5 linked regions of the Canis lupus familiaris genome follow. The protein of the gene in region 5 purifies or fractionates together with the protein of the main gene of each other region. This does not show direct contact. Links are inferred from orthologs where the notes say so. Each region holds a gene or a part of one and is shown on either strand. Other genes may lie near its edges. The genes, in order: ILK, ARRB2, TUBB, APPL1 and AKT1.

Region 1 (4,194 bases), on a different chromosome or scaffold from region 5:
CAGAAGCATCTGGATTATTCCTTGTTAACTCCACTACTTTTCATAATGTCGGCCAGCCCCTGACCAACCTTTAAGTCACCATCTCAGCCTTTGGGAGGCTGGAAAGAAGAGAAACCACCCACCTCACTTCTTCAATTTGCAAATGAGAACATGGAAGTTCCCCAGAGGAATGTGGTAAGGCCACAAGTAACAGGACCAAGGCCAGAGAACAGAAGTTCCAACCCTCCATCTCAGGCTTTTGCCTCTAGGTGGTATCCTTCTATAAAAGGTAGGGAGGTTTCTGAAAACAAGAGTGACACAATCACAGGTGTGTATTTCACGTGAGTCTAGCTGTAGTGTAGAGAATAAACTGAAAGGGACAGGCTGTGGACCGAGAGACCAGGGGTGTTGATTACAGCAATGGGTTGAGGGGATGATGAAAAGGAATAAAGCAGGCTGATTCCACGCTGGACGCCGACTGAAAGGTAGGAAAAGCCTGCGGAAGTACAGCAGCTTTCACATATGCAAAGGCTTATAGGAGAAGGTCTCCTGTCCAGGAGGCCTTCTGGATTGAAGTCCTGCGGGGTGGCCCCAGCGCAGGCATTTAACCTGGAGGTTTTCAGTCCCCACGCCGCACCACTCCTTGAGAACGGTAGTGCTGGTAATCCTTCATGGTCATTCACTCTTGCTCTCTCCAATCCAGTCTCCACACCGCAACCAATGGCTTTTCCAAAATGCAAATCTTAAGAAATCACTCCCTGCTAAAACCATTTCATTGGCCTTTACCGTTAAAATCTGCAAAACTTCTACTCTGCCTCTCCAACTTCAAGGGCATACCCTCTCAGCTCTCTGTGCTCCAACCGCGCGGACTAGTGTGCGTGTGTCCCGAACAACCCGGACACGCTTCCCTGCCCCAGAGCCTTTGCACGTGCTTTCCCCGTCCAGACAACCGTGTTCACTAACTTCGGCTCAACAGCTCTCACTGAGTGGGATCTCGCGCCGGCCGCAGGCGCCCCGCCGCCCCGACACACTCACCCACACGCGGCGTGACCCAAAGCTCGGATCCACCTGCGTGGGCTTCTCGGCCGCTCACCTTGATCTGCGAGGCTGCGGCGGGCGGAGGCCGTGGAGCTACAGGCCGGAAGCCCGTCCCTGCTGGGGCCTCGTCGGCCCACTCTGGCTCCTCAAACATGCGGGTGGGGTGGGGGAGGCCGCGGGGTCCACACGCCTCTGCACGTGCAGGACGCGTCTCCAGCCCTCGGAGCGCGCGAACCGCCGGAACCGCGCCGGAGACCAAGGAGTGAGAGTCTGCGGGGCTAGAGCGGCCGGAGCGGCGCCGGAAACCATCGAGTTTAGCGCTGCTGGCTAGAAGGGCAAGGGAGGCGGGAGGCGGGAGGCGGGAGGGAGGGACGGGGGGAGGGAGGGAGGGAGGGGGGGAGGAATGGGCCCGCGCTGGCCGCAGAGGGCCAGGGGCGGGGCTGCGCGGCGGGCGCGGCCAGACGGGAGTTCCCCGAAGAAGGCTCCTCCAGCCCGAGTCCCGGTGAGTGCGGGAGCACCCGTTCCCCTCCCCGAGGCCCGACCCCGGCCGGCTCGCCGGCCTCCGCGCGGCCCGAATACCGAGCAGGGAACGAGGGCCCCCCGGGAAGGACCCCCGTCGCCTCTCGCAGGGTACCGGGCGCCCGACTCCCCTCCCCCCAGCTCAGTTCGCGGGCGGGTCCCAGAGCGCGTTCGCCGACACCCCTCCGTCGGGGACTCTACCTCCGAACCACCCCCTACCTCGCGCGGACCCGCCTTCCTCTGGCGCCCAGGGACACAGCCAGGGACCATCCCGCCTCCCTGAACTGCTTCCCAGATCTCCAGGAGCCGGGGAGGAGCGGGAGACCCCCACCCCCTACACGAACACTTCTCTCCGGTAGGGGACAGAGCTCGGGGTTCACCCCCCTGCCTGACTCTCCACAGTCCCCAGGCTTCCCCAGTCTAGGGCGCTCAGCGCCGGGACGCTGCTATGGACGACATTTTCACCCAGTGCCGGGAGGGCAACGCGGTGGCCGTTCGCCTGTGGCTGGACAACACGGAGAACGACCTCAACCAGGGGTGAGCTGACGTGGCTGGTGGGTGAGAAGGGCAGAGACAAGCTCCTCTCCGCAGTGTGGGGTGCTCACGTCGGCTGGGGGCGGCTGGCTTTCCTACCCTGTGCGACCAGTGCAAAGCACAGCCTGTGGGGGGCAGAGGGTTTCCACAGAGGAAGCTGTGTTTCTGCTGAATTTTGACCGCTCAACAAGAGTTTTTCAGGCGCAGGGTGCAGAGAGCTTTCCAACCTCAGTGAACTGCATCGGCAAAATATAGGAGGCAAGACAGTGAGCAGAGAATCTGGAAATTGTCCACCGGTCCATATGCCCGGAGGATAGAAGACTTCTGTGAGCTTCTATGGATTGAAGCTTTGGGTACAAGTGGTAAACCACCGAAGATAAGACTGGAGGGGTCGGCTGCAAGGGTCAGCCAGATCATGCAAGGATATTTACACTATGATAAGGTCATTAACGTTAAGAGCAAGGGTTTAAAGCCCCTCTGTGATATGATGAGATTGTCCACTTAAGTGTCCTCTTGGATACCTTTTAAAGAGCAGGTGGCCATGTGGAGAGGCAATTGCTAAGTCTGTCCCAGGAGCGGTGATGCCTTAGACTAGAATGGGGGCAGATGAAAAACAAGTGCTTGGATTCCTGAAATCTTTAGTGTAAATAATTGATAAGACTTGGTGTGGGGAGTGAGGAAGGTCAAAGATGATGACCAGGGTTCTGGCTCAGACACTTGGGTAGATAGTTGCTTTTACTGAGTTGGACAAGGCTGAAGGATGATGAGTGCTGCTGTGACATGGTAAAGTAACTGTACAGCAGAGTGGAAATGTTGAGTAGGTTGTTGGTTATGCAGATTTGCAGTTCAGGAGAAATCTGACTTGGAGACACAGATTTGGGAGATGTTAGCATATAGATGATACCTGAAGACATGGGTGTGAAGGAGAGGGAATGAGAACTCTGCAAGGCTAACTAAAAAGGTGCCATTGGAGGTTGCAGAAGAAACAGGAAAATGTTAGTAAAGCTCAGAGAAGTGAGTGTTTCAATGAAGGGGGAGTGGTCAACAGTAGTTTAGGCTGTTGAGAAGTCAAAAAACTTGAGCACTTTAAAGTAACTGTTGAATTTACAATAATGAGTATTTGATGATCTTTGCGAAGGCTGCCTTAGAGGAAAATGGATGAAGAAATCAAACAACACTGGGTTCCTTCTTTAAAGTGCTGGTTAAACACCTCCCATGCTAGAGGCCCAGACATACTGCCAGCCCTCAAGGCAGCAAGCAGCCTGGTGGCAAGTTGAATGGGAGGTGAGGAAATAGAGAGTGAACGTAGACAAGTTCTTCAAGGTTGGCTGAGACAAGGAGGCTTTTGGAAAAGCAGTAGTGATGTTGATGATTCAGGATGGTGGGTTTTCAGGGTTTTTTATTTTAAAATTTTATTCAGTTTTTAGGTTTGAGGAGTAAGGATCACCTGTCATCTTCATCCAGCTTTCCCAGGTTCTCAGTAGGCTCTATGCTATTCCTCATAATTCTTGGTCACTTTTCCATTTTTCATATTTTTACATAATTTCCATAATTCTTTCATAATTCTTCAAAGGGTGCTTAGATGAAGACTGAGCACTCTTACTATTTTGTTGGTAGGGTCATAAAGGTTTATGTGAAGTTGCCCAGGGGCACTTGATGCATTGTATAAAACCCTGGTGCCAAAGGGTGAATGGGTGGCATCACTGAAACTGGAAGGCTTTGGTGCTGGTTTGCGGGGATAGGCTTTGGGGGCCCAAGCACCCTATATTGCAGGATATTAAGTGTGGTGAACTCCCTGCAGGGCTTTCAGGATTATAGTCTGTGGTCCTGAGGTGACAGGCAGCCGAACAGCAGAAACCTTGTGCTCATACTTTTGCCCTCAGGCTCTGGCCAGTCCTGCCACACAAACTTCAGGCTGATAAACCAGGGCACAAATTAGAGCTGGGAGGCAAAACTCACTGATTAAGTAGGGGAGGATAGTTGCTTCAGAGAGGGGGAGGTGGGGATAATCCACCTCTGGGAAAGCTTTTGACTATCTCTAAAGTGAACAGATGAGGGCAGCTGTGGAGGAAAGTCATTAAAGGCCACGCCCCCCACTCTCATCCCCCGGGAGAGGGGGACATC
Region 2 (3,509 bases), on a different chromosome or scaffold from region 5:
GCCTCCCCCAGCCACTTTATTTACAGTGGCTGCACCCTGCCCGCTCCCTGCCCCCTACTATCTCCCATCTCTAACCTGCTGCTTCTCAGCACTCATCCCTTATCTGTCTTCCCTGCCTAGAAGCTCCACCTGCTCTGTTCCCCGATCAAGCCCCGGCACCCAGGACACAGCCTGACACGCAGCCGGCCCTGAAGGGGCATGTACGCCCTAGGCTGCAGAGGGGGGACGCCCCAAACCCCACCCACACCCCCGCCCCCACCCAGCCTGGTCTCACATGGTGCTGGAGGCCAAGTTGGTGTCTTCATGCTTGAGCTTCCCGTCCAGGGCAAGACCGCGCTTCTCCCGGTTGTCACTGAGCAGCGGGGTGATGGTGTACACCTTGCAGAATGTGGAACTGGGTGACACCTGGTCACTGGGGGGTGGGAGCAAGAGAACGAGGCTCTAGGAGGGGCCAGATGCCCACCCCCAGCGGCTTCTCCACTACCACCCACCCTTTTGTGTTTGGGCTGCAGGTATGAGGAGTAGGATGTGCTCAGAGCCACCTGCTGATGGAGGGAATCCCCTTCCTTGTAGGTAGAGTGGGTTCATTCCATCCTCACCCCATCACCCCCCACCCCTGCCTATGGTCCTGCCCTAAGGTGGGGCTCTGGCCATCCTGCTACTCACTCTTGTTCGATCTGAGCCACAGGACACTTATACTGGGCAGTGCTGAAGAGGCAGATGTCAGCATACTGTCTCACTGTGGGGTGAGGGGGTGGTGAAGCAGCCGTGCAGGAAGCTCAGGCTGCTGCCCCGCTGGGACCCACCCCCACCACCCCAGGCTGCATCTAATTCTGGGGTGTGTCCCTGGGGCCAACATGACCAGGAGCCACATGGGCACCCCCAAAACCCCCCTCAATTCCCCTTCTGTCACCCCGCTTACCGGAGACTTTGATTTTCTTGATGGTCTTGGTGGAGTTGTTGGTGACGTGGACGTTGACGTTGAGGGGCTCCCCGTGGTAGTACAGCTTTTGAGGGGAAGGGTCCAGTTAGTGCTGTCTGCTGGCACCAGCCTCATGATCAGCGTTCCTCCCGCCTGCCCCACACACAGACACCCGGGGTCCTGGCAGCCAGCTTCAGGCCTCGGCCAGGGGGCTATGCACGCTGCGGCACCTGTGCCACCCTCCTGCACCCCACCTCTTTGTCCAGGGAAGCCTCTAGATGCAGGGACCGGTCAGACATGAGGAAGTGGCGTGTGGTTTCTGCTGATGGCTGGGGGCCGGGTTTCTCCGGGGCAAATTGCACCTTTCGAATCACCAGCCGCACAGAGTTCCTGGGGGTGGGGAGGAGGGGAGGGAGGGGCCGGTCCTTAGATACCCAGACCCCCACTGCTGGTCTGATGGAGGGGCGGGGGTGCCTGGGGCTCCGGGGAGCGGGGAGGGAAGGGTCAGACCACAGGGGAGCTCACATCCCCTCACCTTTTGTGGCTTTTCTCTTCTAGAGATTTGGCACAGAAGGCTCGGATCTCAAAGTCTACTCCACAGGCCTGGGAGGGAGAAAAGGTCACATCTTACACAAGGCTCCTGACACCACCACACCCTTCCTTCCCTCTTCCCTCGCCTTGCCTCGGGGGTGGGGGTGGGGGGTTCTTGCCCCATTGCAGTCTGGTGTGAGGCACACAGGGCTGGGGGCTCCGTCCTCTGCCCCTGCCCCCGACACCCAGTCTACTGGGCAGGGCACTGTTCCTGTCTGTGCAAGGTCACCCCCGGCCCCGGGGTCCAGGATCCCCTGTCCTGCCCAGGCTGCTCCCCAACAGCCCCTTCCCGGGGTATCCCCAGCTCCCGCTGGGCCCTGTGCTGTCCTGAGCCCTCAGAGCCATCCCTGCCCTACCTTCCCCGTGTCCTCTGGGCCCGGCTGCAGGGTGACAGAGCAGGGCAGGTTCTGGGGTATCTGTGGTGGAGGCAAGGGGAGGCTTCAGTTCTTCCCAAGAGCCCCCCCCACCAAAATTTCTCCCAATCCCAACTAAGAGTCTGGAAAAGGAGGCGGGGGGGGGGGTGAGAGAGGAAGAAGGAAGGGGGGACCCCAGGGAGGATGCAGAGACAAGGGTGCTGGGTGACCCTGAAGTGACAGGGCAGGGGGGTCCTCACTGTTTCTTCCAGATCCATCTGTGACAGGTGCCCACCCCCCAAGCTCAGCCCTAGACCCCTTGCCCTGTACAGGGTGAGGAGCATCCTCACTGTGAAGAAAAATGGGTGGGCATGCTGGCCCAGCTTCCTCAGCAGCCGGTCCTGCAGGCGAGTGGGGGGCTGGGGTGGGTTGGGCCCGGGGGGGAAGGCCTGGTAGGTGGCAATGAACAGGTCTTTGCGGAAGGACAGGCCCAGCACATCCAGGTCCTCGCGGCCATAGCGGAAGGCGCAGGTGAGGGTCACAAACACTAAGAGGGAGGGCAAGGGGGGGCGGTCAGGACCCTTAGCCCCAGCCCCCCGGCCCCTAGCAGCATCAAAGCTGCCCAAACCCACTTCCCCTTCTGTCCCTGCCCTCTGTGTCCCTGGAGTCGACTCTCCATGTCTGGGATTGGCCCTCCATGTCCCCGGGGTCGTGTCAGTGCCAGCGCACCCCACCTCCCCAGGCCCCCTCCACCTGGCCAGTACCTTTGCGATCCTTCAAGTAGTCTGGGTCCACGAGCACCACGCCATCTGGGAGGGGAACACATGAGCTCGTTTCCTGCCAGGGCCTCCCCACTATCCCTGGGCCCAGGAGCCTCTCCTCCTCCCAGGGCACCTGCTGCTGCTTTCTGGGCACACTTACCCACAGGATCTACTTTGTCCAGGTGATCCACAAAGTCCCGCTTGCCCAAGTACACAGTGAGCTAAGGGTACAGAGGGGCACAGGGAAGATAGGGTGGGAGGTTGAGGGGCATCAGAGCCCTTCAGGGTGCCTGCCCTGCCCCTAGTCCTTCCAGGCTGAAGTATCCTTGGGGTCTCCTCCCAGCGGGCTCAGAAGGGCAGAACAGTGGAGTTTCCCAGGGTCCCCAACCTTGAAGCTCTTCACACCTCTGCCCATAAGTCAGGCAAGTGTGAAGTGTGTATGAGTGGTGGGGCGGGGTAGTGGTGGGACAGGCCACAGGTAGGTCAGCTAGAGAGCAGGGTATGGCCTTGCTGGCTCCCCTCCAGGGGCTCTGGGAGACGCAGGCCATAGCCTGGGGAGCTGCTGACCCTTCCCAGCCCTGGGAAAGCTGGCTCCTCAAAGGGGTACAGCCTAGGGCTCCTGGCCCCTCCCCCTGCATCTTGCCGAGGGACACAGACCTTCCCCACCCAGCCCCGTGGCTGGCTCAGGTTGAGCGGCCTTTGTGGCAAGGGGCTTCAGGAGGGAAGGAAGTCAGCTCTTAGCTGTCACAGGAAGTGGGGAGCCAGGGGTTGGGGATTGGCTAGGGGCAGGCTGGGCCTTGCAGGGGCCCAGAGAGGAAAAGCAGCCTGGGAGACTCACCTTGCAGTTAGGGCTTGACTTCTTGAAGACCCTAACAAAACAGA
Region 3 (4,234 bases), on a different chromosome or scaffold from region 5:
GAGACGTGGGAAGGGCACCATGTTGACTGCCAGCTTGCGGAGGTCAGCATTGAGCTGACCAGGGAAGCGGAGGCAGGTGGTGACACCACTCATGGTGGCTGAGACAAGGTGGTTGAGGTCCCCATAGGTTGGCGTGGTCAGCTTGAGGGTGCGGAAGCAGATGTCGTACAGGGCCTCATTGTCAATGCAATAGGTCTCATCCGTGTTCTCTACCAACTGATGGACAGAGAGAGTGGCATTGTAGGGCTCAACCACCGTGTCAGACACTTTGGGGGAGGGCACCACACTGAAGGTGTTCATGATGCGGTCAGGGTACTCTTCTCGGATCTTGCTGATGAGCAGCGTGCCCATGCCAGAGCCTGTGCCCCCACCCAGTGAGTGGGTCAGCTGGAAGCCCTGCAGGCAGTCACAGCTCTCAGCTTCCTTCCGCACCACATCCAGGACTGAGTCCACTAGCTCAGCCCCCTCTGTGTAGTGGCCCTTGGCCCAGTTGTTGCCAGCCCCAGACTGCCCTGGAATGAGGTGAACAAAATTCTCTTTATTAGCAAAGCATCAAAGATAAAGGACCATTTCCACTCTTCAGCTTTTAAAATAACATACACGAATGTGCCTTTTTTCTTACTCACCTGTGATACATCCCTGCCTCAGTATCTACCATCTAAGGCGGTCATTCCCAACACCCTGCGTTAGAGATCTCAAAACATATCCCCAGATAAACGCTCCAGCATTAAAAATAACTTCTTAGCTCTTGCAGTCTCCTTCCTTCAAATACACTGAATAGCACTACTAATATGTGCATAACTCACCAAAAACAAAGTTGTCTGGTCTGAATATCTGCCCAAAAGGACCAGAGCGAACAGAGTCCATGGTCCCAGGTTCTAGATCCACCAAGATAGCACGAGGTACGTATTTGCCACCTATATGGAAGAAAGAATAAGAATTGGTGGACTAGAAGACCAAATGGAGCTGAGCTGGAGGACACCAGGGGGCAGCAGAGCTGATCTTTTGCCCCACCGTGAAGTCAAATCAGGGTAAGACCTTCTTTAAAAATCAGACCCATCCCAAGGTGGGTTCTCCAGGGCTGGAAAGGAGACCCCGGAGAAGTGGGAGCCCCGCGTTCCCCGTTCCCGCCCTCACCTGTAGCTTCGTTGTAATACACGGAGATGCGATCCAGCTGCAGGTCGCTGTCACCGTGGTAGGTTCCGGTGGGATCGATGCCGTGTTCATCGCTGATGACCTCCCAGAACTGCCGAGGAAGAGCAGGGAGACTTGCACAGCTCTGGTCCCAGCCAGTGATGCCCACCCGACCGACACATTTCAAGTGCAAACACGCACACGGAGAGCGCACCTCCGCCGCCTACCGGGCGCTCTGCTTGCCTGCCGCGCCCTCCACCAGACACCCGCAGCCCCCTAAGGGCTGCAGCGTCCACTGCTCGGGTGCAGCCGCGGAGGCCCGGCGACCGGTGGACGCGGTGCGGTGGGGGTGTGCCGGGCGGAGGCTTCCGAGCCGAGCCGACCGGCACACCCTCCCCCCGCGCACGAGCCGGGGCGAGGGACAGAAGCCGCCGCAGTGGACGCCCCTCCACGTGACTGCGGCGCCCGCCCGTCGGCGCTGACAAAGGGAGGCGTCGCGCGTGGGCGGGGGCCTGTGCCGCTAGCGCGCCCCCAGCCGGCCAGCCCGGCGCTTGGAGCCCCGCCCCGCCCCGCCCAGCCCCGGGCTACAACGTAGCAGCAGGACTTCCTCCCTGCCCTGCCCCCGCCACACTGTAACCGCGCGCAGAAAAAGAAACTACCCCCACCTCCCGCTTGAGCCTCCGATTTTCTTCCTTGGCTAGCTTGTTATACCTGGCTTTAAGTACGGCTTCTCGGCCCTTCTCCCACCGTTTAGCCCTGAGGGACCCTTGAAAGAAAAGGATCCTCCCGCCCTCTTTCTCCATATCGGTGCACGCCCTAAAAGGGTCTCTTTACTGGAGATGAAAGGAAATTAATACTGCAGGGACCAATCTTCCATCCACAAGGGCCTACGGGACCGCCCCTCGCGGACTGCCCTCATTTTTGGGGCGGGCACCGCGCGGTGCAGCCCACCCTGGCGCGTCGCGCCCCCCTCCCCACCGTGGGCCCAGGACCCCGCGGCCGCCGCCCAGCCGCGCTCCCTGTCCCCCTCCCTTCCGTGGAGCCGGGCCCCCCCCCGCGGAGGGGATGCACACGGGGACAGCCTCTCCGCGCTGTATCTCGGACCGTTTCCGCATCTCCTCTCTCCCCGTTCCTCGGACCACTACAACACTTTCAAGTAAAATTTTAAAGAGCCAGTCTTCCGACTCCAAACCCGAAACGTCCTCAAAAGCTCACCCAAAATTAGCCAGCCAAGTACAATTCCCCCATTTTTCAAAAGTAAATTCTAGCTGCAACCGTGTATTGTATATGGAAAACTTTTGAGGGCAAAGCGGGACAATGGATGGAACGCAAATATGTCCCACATTCTTCATCATTTAGCTGGATTTGTTTTTCTTCTAAAAAAAAAATAGTTAAAAGAAAAGGCTTAAAATCCTTACCTTGGCACCGATCTGGTTACCACACTGACCGGCCTGGATGTGCACGATTTCCCTCATTGTTAAAATTTATTTTAATTCTTTTTGCTTCTCTCAAAGGTGTGTACGGGGCAGAAAGTGAGATGGGGTTTTTTCCTATACTGCAATTCGCAGGCTGGAAGGATGGGACGCGTCCAGAGGCTGGAGCAACGAGGTCCGAGCGCAGCGACAGGAACGTTGAGATGTAGAAAGAAGCGGGGAGGGCGAAGAAGGAGGAAAGGCGGGCAGGGCGGGGCGCGCGTGCGCGGAGGCTGCAGGCGGGAGAGCGCCCGCGCCGCGGCAGGCAGACAAAGCCTCGCTGGAGTGGGCCCCGATTGGTCAGTGCCGGTCACGTAGGTCTCGTCTATTGGGCTCCGCTCGGGTGGATGAACGCTGGCCTCCCTGGGAGTCGTAGTCCTCCATTGTTGTCTACGCTGGAAAATGAAGGGAGGGATGAGTGGATACTGGATTTTTGGTTGGGGGGGGGGTAGAGTTGGCCTTGTTGTTGTTTTTTAATGAAAAATGACCTTGCGCAAATTTCTTTCCCCTACACTTGAGTTTTTTGTACTAAAAGGGAGTCATTTGGGGGGGATACAGGCATTGGGAACCCTGGGGTGCCAGGAGTTGGAAGGCGAAGTGGGCACGCCCTGAACGTTCCCTGCTGCGGTAGCTCTTGGTAAGAGGGCTGCTTAGCTCAGCTAAAACTGGGGAGAAATGCGGCACCCTGCTCTGGTAGCAAACAGCGGGTCCTTCGGTGACCCACGGCATGAAATCCAGGAAGCCGCTGCTCCCCCAGATAGGAAAAACGGGATGGCCCTCCTGTTATTTCCTTGGAAATTTTCTAATGATAATGTTTAGAAAGAGAAACAAAAATGCAGCAATAGGTTTTCAGAGTAGAGATGTAATTGAGGGTGTGTTCAAATAAATTGAATGGTTTAGAAAAGCTGGTATGTAGAATCTGTGAAGTCAGAAGTCTATCCATGAAAGTGATGAAGTTTTTGGAATTATAAGGTGAGGTTCGGAGCCGACGACCAAGAAAGGATTCTTGAGACATCTTTGGTGCAAAATGGTGGTTTTATTAAAGCAGGGGGACAGGACCCGTGGGCAGGAAGAGCTGCTGCCCGGTGAGGGGTGGCTGATTATATACCTGGGAGTTGGGAGGGGTTTGAGGATAGCGTACTCTCTAAGGAATTTGGAAGCAAGGTTTCCAGGACCTTGAGGGGACCAGCTATTGTTGGGAAAAGGTCACTTATTACCGGCTAATAAAACCTGATTCGTGAGACCCTTTAGATGTGTGTGGGTGGGCCATGTGCTTAGGGGATGATTGCCAACATGTATCTTGTGGGTTTAGATAAAGGATCTTTCTAAAGGAATTTTTATGTTAAAAAGACTTACAGGATCCTGGGGGTTGGGCTAAGATTGCCTTTTCTCCTTAGCAAAGTATGAACATCGAGGCAGTTGAGTCCGTAGAGGAAGGTCCCTCTGCCTGTTTCAAGGGCTTGTCAATGTGCTGCCCTGGGCTTGTGCTTTGTCCTCAGCCAGTCCTCTGTTCCCCCATCAAAAGGGGTTCTTAGGGCAGCCCTGGTGGCTCAGCGGTTTAGCGCGCCTTCGCAGGGCGTGATCCTGGAGACACGGAGTCGAGTCCCACATCGGGCTCCCTACATGGA
Region 4 (3,995 bases), on a different chromosome or scaffold from region 5:
GAGCCAGCCAGGTGTTCCTAACGGCTAGAATTTTACAAGACACTTATGATTTTGCCATTTTCTTTGCATACTGATGAAAACTTCTTGTGACTCTACAGAGAAATGCATGAGGCAGTTGTGAGGTTGGGGAAGAAGGACAAAGAACCAGGAATTCTAACCCAGACCAGGTGTTGGAATCAGAGCTTCACTCTTCTTTACTGTAAAATTAGAGGCTGAAGAAGCTATTGAAAACTTCTTCCACAACTTTTTGATCTAACAGATATGCCTGTCAGCTACCCACATAATTAACCAGTGTGTGCTAAACTTTAAAAGATGTTTTCTGGGCAGCCCGGGTGGCTCAGCGCTTTAGCGCCTGCCTTCGGCCCAGGGCGTGATCCTGGAGACCCAGGATGGGGCCTGCTTCTCCCTCTGCCTGTGTCTCTGCCAATCTGTCTCTCTCTCTCTCTCTGTGTGTGTCTTTCATGAATGGATGAATAAAATTTAAAAAAAATCGATTTAAAAAATAATTTAAAAAAAAGATGTTTTTGTTTGTGATTTATAACAACTACTGAAGTCTGAATTGAGGCACCGTAGCCCTTCCAGGCCAGGTAAGAATCGATGAATCGATAATAAAGTCTCATGTTTTTAACTGAATATACTGATATCCAAGTGCCCAGAAAAATAACTGCGGGTCTACCGTCCATACATTTACTGGGAAGCCTGCTAGTGACCCAGCTTGGGATCCCACAGCCGGCTGAGCGGGCCAGCACCCTGTCGCCGGGAGGGTGGGGGTGGGGAGCAGACTGGACGCTGCGGGCAGGGTTGCGAAGGTTGTAACTGGAGCAAGAAAGGCCCCCGGCAGTAGGGCCTCTTCCGTGGTCTCTGATGAAATGTTGCAGGAGGAGTAAAGACACCCCAAACTCCCCGGGGTGGTGGTCCTCAGACGAGGCTCTGGTTCGCTGAAAGGCGAGAGACGGTCCCCCACAATTTGCATCAACAGGCGCGCGCAGGGCGGACGGTCGCAGCGAGCAGTCAGCGCCACCCGCGAGGCCGCCGCTCACCACAGCACCCAGAGCCGCGAAGGAACCTCCGGGCTAGCCCCGCCGCGCTGACGGGCGTCGCTGCGAGCCAATGGGCGCGCCGGGAGGCGGGGCAGGGCGGCCGAGGGGGCGGGATTTCCCGCGCGGCCGCTCGGCGCCTGGCGAGAGCGGCGCGGGCGGCGACGGCGGCCGCGCCTGCGAGAGAGGGCGGGTCGGGGTCAGCTGCTGCAGGCGGGCGGGCGCGGCGAGCTGTGGGCGGCTGCCGTGTCTCCTCCTGCCGCCGCCCTCCCTCCGCCACGATGCCGGGAATCGACAAGCTGCCCATCGAGGAGACGCTGGAGGACAGCCCGCAGGTGAGGCGCGGGCGGCGGCGGGAGGCGAGGGAAAGAGCAGGGCGGGCCGACCCCAGGCCTGGCGCCGCGGCGGCCGCAGGTGCCCGCCCCGGCCCAGGTGGGCGCCGCCGTCCAGTGCCCCCGCCCGTCGCGGGCCGCGCCCCGGGTCGCCGCGGCCCGGCCGCCAGCCCGAGGCCCGCGTGGGCCTGCGCCGCTGGGCCGAGAGAGCCACCCGCGAGGTCTGGGACGTCGGCGGGCGGCGGCCGAAGCTCCGCCGCCCGCGCTCGTGGGCCCGGCGGTCACGTACGTTCGCGGGGGCTCCCTCGTATTTGACGAAAGGTGCGTTTTCATCGCCGTCATCTAAGGTCGTAAATTCCAATCCTGGGATCTCTTCGGAGGAAATGCAGAAGGAGGAAAAAAATAAAAAAATAAAACAGCACCCCCTCACCCCCTCACCCCCTCACCCCCCGTAGACTTATCCCACGACCCCTGAGCAAGCCCTTGGGGAAGGAAATGGATAGTGTTCCCTCCGGAGTTGCAGGAACGCTGCTGATTTACCCGCCTGGAGAGTCCTCGGCGAAGCCCGTCCTGTGCCTCGGAGCCTCCCCGCGGACTGTGTCCCGCGTCGTGGCCGCGGCTGTGGCCGCTGTCACTCGAGCTGTGCACGGCCGGTGACGGACGGACGGCGCCTTCGCGGCGGCACGACCAACTGCTGCGCGGAACGGTGCAGACTTGGCCCTTAATAAACTCATCAAAATAAAAGCCCCGTGTTTTGTGCTCGGGAGCGGGTGGGAGGGGTAATGCTAATGCGGTTGCTGGAGCCCCGAGACGGTCCAGGGAAACCTAGCAATTTGTTAACGTGTTCGATATTGAAGAACGAGATGAATTACATTTAAAATTACATGTTGGTAGGGCGCTGTAACTTGCATCGGGAGACCTCATCCTCAAAGCCTGTCTCCTACACAAGTGATTTAAGCGATTTAGGACCGTGTTGCTGGTTGGCCACCTCTGAAATGGTGCGCATTCAGAACTACCATTGCATACATTTCACGCGTGTCTTGACGGTTTAATATGGCCCCAAAAGATGAGGAAGTAGGGGCTAGGTCCCCCTGGCCTGTGTGACACGTCTGCTGTGACTTTGTGCCAATTTTAATTGCCAAGTGGAAGTCGGGCTCTGATTGTGGAATTGATTTTTTTTTTTTCCCCATGCCGAAAGTTATCTTCACAGGCCAGTTGTTTGCTGGTAATGTACTCTTATCAGCCTAAACTGACACAGAGAGAAACCCGCATCTTGGTTTATCTTGACTGCCAGAATAGCTAGTTCAAATTCTTTTTTTTTTTTTTTTTTTTTTTTGCTAGTTCAAATTCTTATTGATATCTGAAGTATAAAGTTAGGAGATGTATTTGTTTCAGATGTTTTGTAAAGGTTTTGTGGTACGAGTTGGTCAGGTGCACTTTGTCATCTTTTATTATGTAAGGCTCAACAGGTTGCTGTACCTTTTCTTACCTGGCCTGGTTTTTATAGCCCATAAATCTTACACGCAGGCCACAATGGGTGCCCTTGCCACGACTTGTGAGGAGGATAAAATGTGACTCATCTAATTTCTCGAACTTTTCACACAGTTTACAAATTGAGCATTCTTTTTTTTTTAAATTAAGTATGTGCCATATTAGTATCAGTTTTATAGTAATTTTTTAATGAAATAGCTGCCTTGATACTCTTTCAGTTTCTTTAAGTGATAACTTGAACTAGGTACTTTGGAAAATTAGGATAAATGGGATTTAGAAAGGGAAGACGTGGGACAGGTGGGTGGTTCAGTGGTTGAGTGTCTGCCTTTGGCTCAGGGCAGATCCCGGAGTGCCGGGATTTGAGTCCTGCATCTGGCTTATTGCATGGAGCCTACTTATCCCTCTGTCTCTCTCTGTGTGTCTCTCATGAATAAATAAATAAAATATTTTAAATTAAAAAAAAAAAAAAAAAGGGAAGATGCCTGGAAGTAATACTTAGGGAAAACTTATGGTACGATGGAAAGCCCTAGATTCTGGGATTCAGGATATAAGGGTTTTAGTCTTCACTGTGACTTCACTTTAGGGCAAGTCACTCAACTTCTCAAAATCTTAGCTGTTATAGTGAATGTTTTTATTTTTGTACCTGATTATAAAAGACATAGTCATGAAAGAAAGAAAAATTGGAAGGTACAGGAAACAGTTACCTGTCCTGCACCCAGCAGCAAACCCTGTTAACTGTGTTTCCTCATTTGCTTTTATATATTTTAATGTAATTGAAGTTATATTGTGCATAACAATTTTTAATCTGCTTTAACTTAACAATGTAGTGTTAAGCATGTTCACGTATTAAATTCTGAATAAAAAAATTTAAAGGCTGCATGTTTTTTCATGTGACTTAACAGCTGTCCTACTGTTGGACTTAAAGTTTTTCATAAGTTTTGTTTTTACATATAGGACTGAGGTTAATGCTTTGGGGCATAAATTTTTGTCCTCATTTGGAATATTTATTTAGGATAGAGTCCAGGAAGTTGAGTAGCAAAGCGTATGAAAACTTTTAAAGTTCCTGGTATAGAGAAGTTTTTATTTAGATCATTAGATCCTAACCAGAAGTGGTCTGCCAGTGCTGAGAAAAAAA
Region 5 (3,941 bases):
TGACCCTGGATAAGGAACCGAAGTGGCCCTCTCCCCCACAGAACACACGCTCCTGGAGCGTAACTCGCGGAGTTTTCCTTTCACAAAAGGATCGCTAAGACTTGGAGGCCTCAGGGGTGGGGGGAGGGGCAGCTGTTGGAGAAATCTCTGGCTCTAGCCGAGTGCAGGGCCCGGGGAGGGGTCATCTGCAGTGTCCTCCCGCCTCGCCCGCGCCTCGCTGCCCACCCCTGCCCGGTGGACTGTGGGAGGCCGGGGCCCCACTGGGTGGCGGGCAGGGGCCTGGGCTGCCCTCTGACAGCCCTTCTCTGGGTGTCTGTCCCAGCCCAGGACAGGCACCGCCCGCCAGGTGTGCGCTGGAAGCCGCCACAGTCCCTGGGGCCCGCTTGTCCCGCTGTCACCGTGGGAAGCCCCCCATCTGCTCCTGTAGAGCTGTCGGTGTCTTGCTTCGGGGCCACGGGCAGCTCTGGGAAGGCGCGGCCAGGGATGGAGGGTCGTGCCCAGGGCAAGGTGGCTCTGCAGCCCGGGGGCCTGGGACCCCTCCCTCCGCAGCCCCCGTGTCCCGGGCGCGCATTGCAGCCGGGGTCCCAGGCCCCATGGGGGGGCCGGGTCGTGCCTCGGGCCTTTGAGGGTCACCTCGGCTGCGCCCCCCCCCCCGGGCATCCTCCCCCCGCGCACGGGGGCAGGAGCCCCGGGAAGGCCCCACCGGCCGCGGCGGAACCGGGCCGCGCCGGGAAACTGAGGCCGGGCAGCACGCGGCCGCGGGGAGCCTGGGCCGCCGCCTGCCGCCTGCCGCGCGCTCCCGGCGCCGCGCCCTCGCCCCGGCCGCGCCGGGGGCGCCCCGGGCGGCGGAGGCGGATGTGGGCGGGCGGCCGGGCGGGGCGGCGCGGGGCGGGGAGAGGGCGGGCCGGCGGCGGCGGCGGAGGCGGAGGCGGCGGCGGCGGGACGAGCGCGGCGGGCGGGCGGGCGGGCGGCCCAGCGCAGCCAGCGCAGCAGCGCAGCCGGGGGACGCGAGCCGGCGGCCGCCACGAGCACCGGGCCCGGCGGCGCGGAGCCCCGCCCGCCCAGCGCCCGCCCGCCGCGGCCTCCAGCCCGGCCCCGCCCGGCGGGCGCGCGGGGATGCGGAGCGGCGGGCGCCGGAGGCCGCGGCCCGGCTAGGCCCGCGCTCGGCCCGGAGGCGCCCGGTGAGTGCCCCGCCCGCGCCCCGGCCCGACTTCCTCCCGCGGGCGCTTTGTTGGCGGCGGCGGCCCGGGCGCGGCGGGGGCGGGGAGCGGAGCAGGAAGTGGCCGAGCGCGGCCTGGGCGGGGAGGGCGCGGGCCGGGCCGGGCCGGGCCGGGGCGGCGGGCGGCGGGCGGCGGGGTGCGGGGTGCGCCCGGCCTCCCTCCTGACCTTGGAGGCGGCGGCCGCGGGGCGCGGGGCGCTCGCGGGGTGCGGCGGCCGCGGCGAGTTTGCGGGGGGCCCCGCGGCGGAGCCCTCCGCGGCCGCGAGACGGAAAGTTGTACGTGATGGCGAGGTGCCCGGCGGCCTTTGTGGGCCGCGCCCGCTGCGGGCCTGCAGCCTGCGCCTGAGCGGTGGGCCCGGGGGCGCCGCCCACCCGGCCGGGGGTTCCTGCGCGCTGTCGGGGGGCGGGGGCCCGGGTGTGCCCCGAGCCCGGTGCAACGGGAGGGCGGGGGCGCCTGGCGGGCCTGGGTCCCCTGCCCTGCGCGAGCTGAGCCCGCGGCCCCACGGCGGCCTTTGGAGGCAGAGGAAGGGGCCCTGTGAGCGCAGGCAGCGCCTCCTGAGCCATCCCCTAAATAATAACGACGCTAGCAGCCCTCGGGGTGGAGGCCCTGGGGTCCGGAAGCCGTGGGAAACGGGGACCCCGTCCCTGCGGCCGTGCGCCCCGAGTGCGCCCCGAGGCTGCCGCGCTGGCCTGCTGCGTGCGTTTCTCTGCAGATGCACACCAGCCTGTGTGTGTGCACAGATATATTTTTACACGCGGGGCTCGACAGCTGTCTGACTCTGTCAGCCGCGGCCCCACGTAGGCCAGGGTGGGGGCGGGGGACATCCAGAGGTCTCCGAGGCCAGCCCTCTGCCTCCAGGCCACGCCCACTTGTGTCCCCAGAGGGGCCCCGGCCTGCCCCGGGGCTCGGGGCTCGGAGCCCTGTCCTTGGAGGTCTTGCTCCCCGCGCTCGGCTGCCGGTGGCCTGCGGGGCCCGTTGGGCACTTTCTCCCTGGGCAAAGTGTGTTCCCTGGCCTGGCGGTACACACAGCCAGCGGGGGCTTCTCGCTCTTCTAAATTTAGCCTAAGACCGTAGGTTCAGAGCAGCCTCCCCTGGGTCCTCACCCTGCCCCAGGAGGCCGGTAAGGTGCGTGGCCAGAGGGTGCCTAGGCAGCTGTAGGAAGAGCCGAGCTGGGCTCGCTGCGGAGGTCCCCTGGCGTCCTGGGCCCGAGGTCCCCGAGTCGAGAGGCTCCCGGGCTGCCCTCGGCAGTGCTCGCGTGGAGGGCTCGCAGAGGACTGCGCCCAGGAAGAGTGCTCTCTCCCAGGACGCACAGAGTGGGTGAAGGTGTGAACTGGGTTTTGAGGGATGCCTAGGAGTTCATCCAGCAGGGAGCGACGGGGAGGGCCCCTCAGGTTCAATGGCCAGAGTGTCTGCTCCAGGGAAGGCTGCTGGTGGGCCAGGGCGGGTGCCAGGGCCTCTGCATTTGTCTAGAGCACCCCCCCATTTGTTGCCTCCTGAATGCTGTAATTATGGGTCTGTGACCAGCCTGGACTGGGTGCTTCTCAGATGGGACCATGTGAACCTCTCTTTGTCCCCGGGGCCGAGCCTGGCGAAACCAGAGATGCCTGGTCCGTGCTGGCCGGATGAATGAACCAGATTCAGACCGGCAGGGGTGCTGTGGTTTAGGAGGGGCTTGGGGTTTCTTGGGGGGAGGTATTTTATGTCACCCTGGAGGGCTCCGGGCTCTCATTTGCGCCAGCCGCCTGGTCTCCTGGCCCTACTTTGTTCTGTTTGAATTTCTCCTCTTTCCTAGTCTGGGGCGAGAAGGAGGAACCCCGGCCTGTGGGCAGGGAGCTCAGGGGCACTCACCAGGGCCCTGGAGAGGCCAAGCAGCATAGACCAGAGCAGTCAGAGGGGCTGCCTGGAGGAGGTGGCAGGTTAGGGAGGCTGGGATATACCCGGAGGGCCTCTGGGGTGGGGAATGGTCTGTGGCCAGGCGGGGGGAAGTGGGAATGTAGGAGGGCCAGCAGACCCTGGGGACCTGGGGGTCAGAGAGGGGTGGCAGGGGGATTGCAGCCTCGGCCCCAGGGAGCAGGGCTGGTAACCTGGACTCTGTCGGGGGCCGTGGTGGGAGCCATGGGGAGTGGCTGTGGCTCAGGGCTGTGAGGGGGTGGGAGGACCCCGCAGGGGATCCTGGGTGCGCAGGGCCTCCTGGCCTCACCGTGGGGCTGGAGGGGTGGACACAACCTCACACGCTGCCCCTTGATTTTTCCAGAGGCTGGGTACGCCGGCTGGCCTCGGGGAGACCCTGCTGAGAGGGGCCAGCGAGGGGCGCTGGGGTGGCCCCGGCCCGCTGGAGCAGGGCGCCATGAACGACGTGGCCATCGTGAAGGAGGGTTGGCTGCACAAGAGAGGTCAGTGCCCGCGGGGCTTGGGGCTGGGGCAGGGGTCCCGGGGCCGGCTCCCCTCGGGTGGCCGGGCTGGCGTAGTGGCCGCCTGGCCGGGTCCCTAGGGCGGGAGAGCCACCGCCACCTCCCTGCCCGCTTTCCTGGAAGGCAGGGAGGCCACTGGGGCGCGTCCAAGGCCTGGCTCGCTGGCGGCCCGGGGCACTGCCCGAGGGCTCCTGAGGCCAGGGCTGAGGTGCTGCGCCTGGCCTGCTGCCCGCCTCGGGCCTGGGCTGGGGGGGCTCCGCACCACCCCGGGGCCCGGCACGGGGCGTGCATGTGCTGGAGCAGCGAGCCG

Evidence for each region.
Region 1: the proteins of AKT1 (region 5) and ILK purify together in Homo sapiens (affinity purification with western blotting; 3 studies listed by BioGRID). This does not show direct contact. The link is inferred for Canis lupus familiaris from reciprocal best matches to the Homo sapiens genes AKT1 and ILK.
Region 2: the proteins of AKT1 (region 5) and ARRB2 purify together in Homo sapiens (affinity purification with western blotting; 4 studies listed by BioGRID and IntAct, with this or other methods). This does not show direct contact. The link is inferred for Canis lupus familiaris from reciprocal best matches to the Homo sapiens genes AKT1 and ARRB2.
Region 3: the proteins of AKT1 (region 5) and TUBB purify together in Homo sapiens (affinity purification with mass spectrometry, with the first as the bait; 3 studies listed by BioGRID). This does not show direct contact. The link is inferred for Canis lupus familiaris from reciprocal best matches to the Homo sapiens genes AKT1 and TUBB.
Region 4: the proteins of AKT1 (region 5) and APPL1 purify together in Homo sapiens (affinity purification with western blotting; 3 studies listed by BioGRID, with this or other methods). This does not show direct contact. The link is inferred for Canis lupus familiaris from reciprocal best matches to the Homo sapiens genes AKT1 and APPL1.

What each region holds. Positions count from the first base shown.
Region 1 is NC_049242.1:30,417,835-30,422,028, forward strand, and holds the start of ILK (integrin-linked protein kinase), read left to right. Parts: upstream 1-1,391; 5' UTR 1,392-1,519; exon of another isoform or gene 1,520-1,647; intron 1,648-1,932; exon of another isoform or gene 1,933-1,938; 5' UTR 1,939-1,984; coding exon 1,985-2,073; intron 2,074-2,271; exon of another isoform or gene 2,272-2,504; coding exon of another isoform or gene 2,505-2,512; intron 2,513-4,194. Other genes in the region: RRP8 (ribosomal RNA-processing protein 8), read right to left, coding at 1,073-1,171. UniProt on the Homo sapiens protein: Scaffold protein which mediates protein-protein interactions during a range of cellular events including focal adhesion assembly, cell adhesion and cell migration.
Region 2 is NC_049226.1:32,039,430-32,042,938, forward strand, and holds part of ARRB2 (beta-arrestin-2), read right to left. Parts: intron 3,497-3,509; coding exon 3,466-3,496; intron 2,849-3,465; coding exon 2,788-2,848; intron 2,676-2,787; coding exon 2,631-2,675; intron 2,414-2,630; coding exon 2,127-2,413; intron 1,930-2,126; coding exon 1,870-1,929; intron 1,526-1,869; coding exon 1,458-1,525; intron 1,313-1,457; coding exon 1,177-1,312; intron 1,008-1,176; coding exon 923-1,007; intron 740-922; coding exon 667-739; intron 413-666; coding exon 275-412; intron 1-274. UniProt on the Homo sapiens protein: Functions in regulating agonist-mediated G-protein coupled receptor (GPCR) signaling by mediating both receptor desensitization and resensitization processes.
Region 3 is NC_049233.1:649,862-654,095, reverse strand, and holds the start of TUBB (tubulin beta chain), read right to left. Parts: upstream 2,810-4,234; 5' UTR 2,610-2,809; coding exon 2,553-2,609; intron 1,247-2,552; coding exon 1,138-1,246; intron 918-1,137; coding exon 807-917; intron 513-806; coding exon 1-512. UniProt on the Homo sapiens protein: Tubulin is the major constituent of microtubules, a cylinder consisting of laterally associated linear protofilaments composed of alpha- and beta-tubulin heterodimers.
Region 4 is NC_049241.1:33,415,264-33,419,258, reverse strand, and holds the start of APPL1 (DCC-interacting protein 13-alpha), read left to right. Parts: upstream 1-1,191; 5' UTR 1,192-1,318; coding exon 1,319-1,372; intron 1,373-1,658; exon of another isoform or gene 1,659-1,741; intron 1,742-1,909; exon of another isoform or gene 1,910-2,089; intron 2,090-3,995. UniProt on the Homo sapiens protein: Multifunctional adapter protein that binds to various membrane receptors, nuclear factors and signaling proteins to regulate many processes, such as cell proliferation, immune response, endosomal trafficking and cell metabolism.
Region 5 is NC_049229.1:72,734,913-72,738,853, reverse strand, and holds the start of AKT1 (RAC-alpha serine/threonine-protein kinase), read left to right. Parts: upstream 1-1,137; 5' UTR 1,138-1,181; intron 1,182-2,524; exon of another isoform or gene 2,525-2,543; intron 2,544-3,012; exon of another isoform or gene 3,013-3,136; intron 3,137-3,474; 5' UTR 3,475-3,567; coding exon 3,568-3,613; intron 3,614-3,941. UniProt on the Homo sapiens protein: AKT1 is one of 3 closely related serine/threonine-protein kinases (AKT1, AKT2 and AKT3) called the AKT kinase, and which regulate many processes including metabolism, proliferation, cell survival, growth and angiogenesis.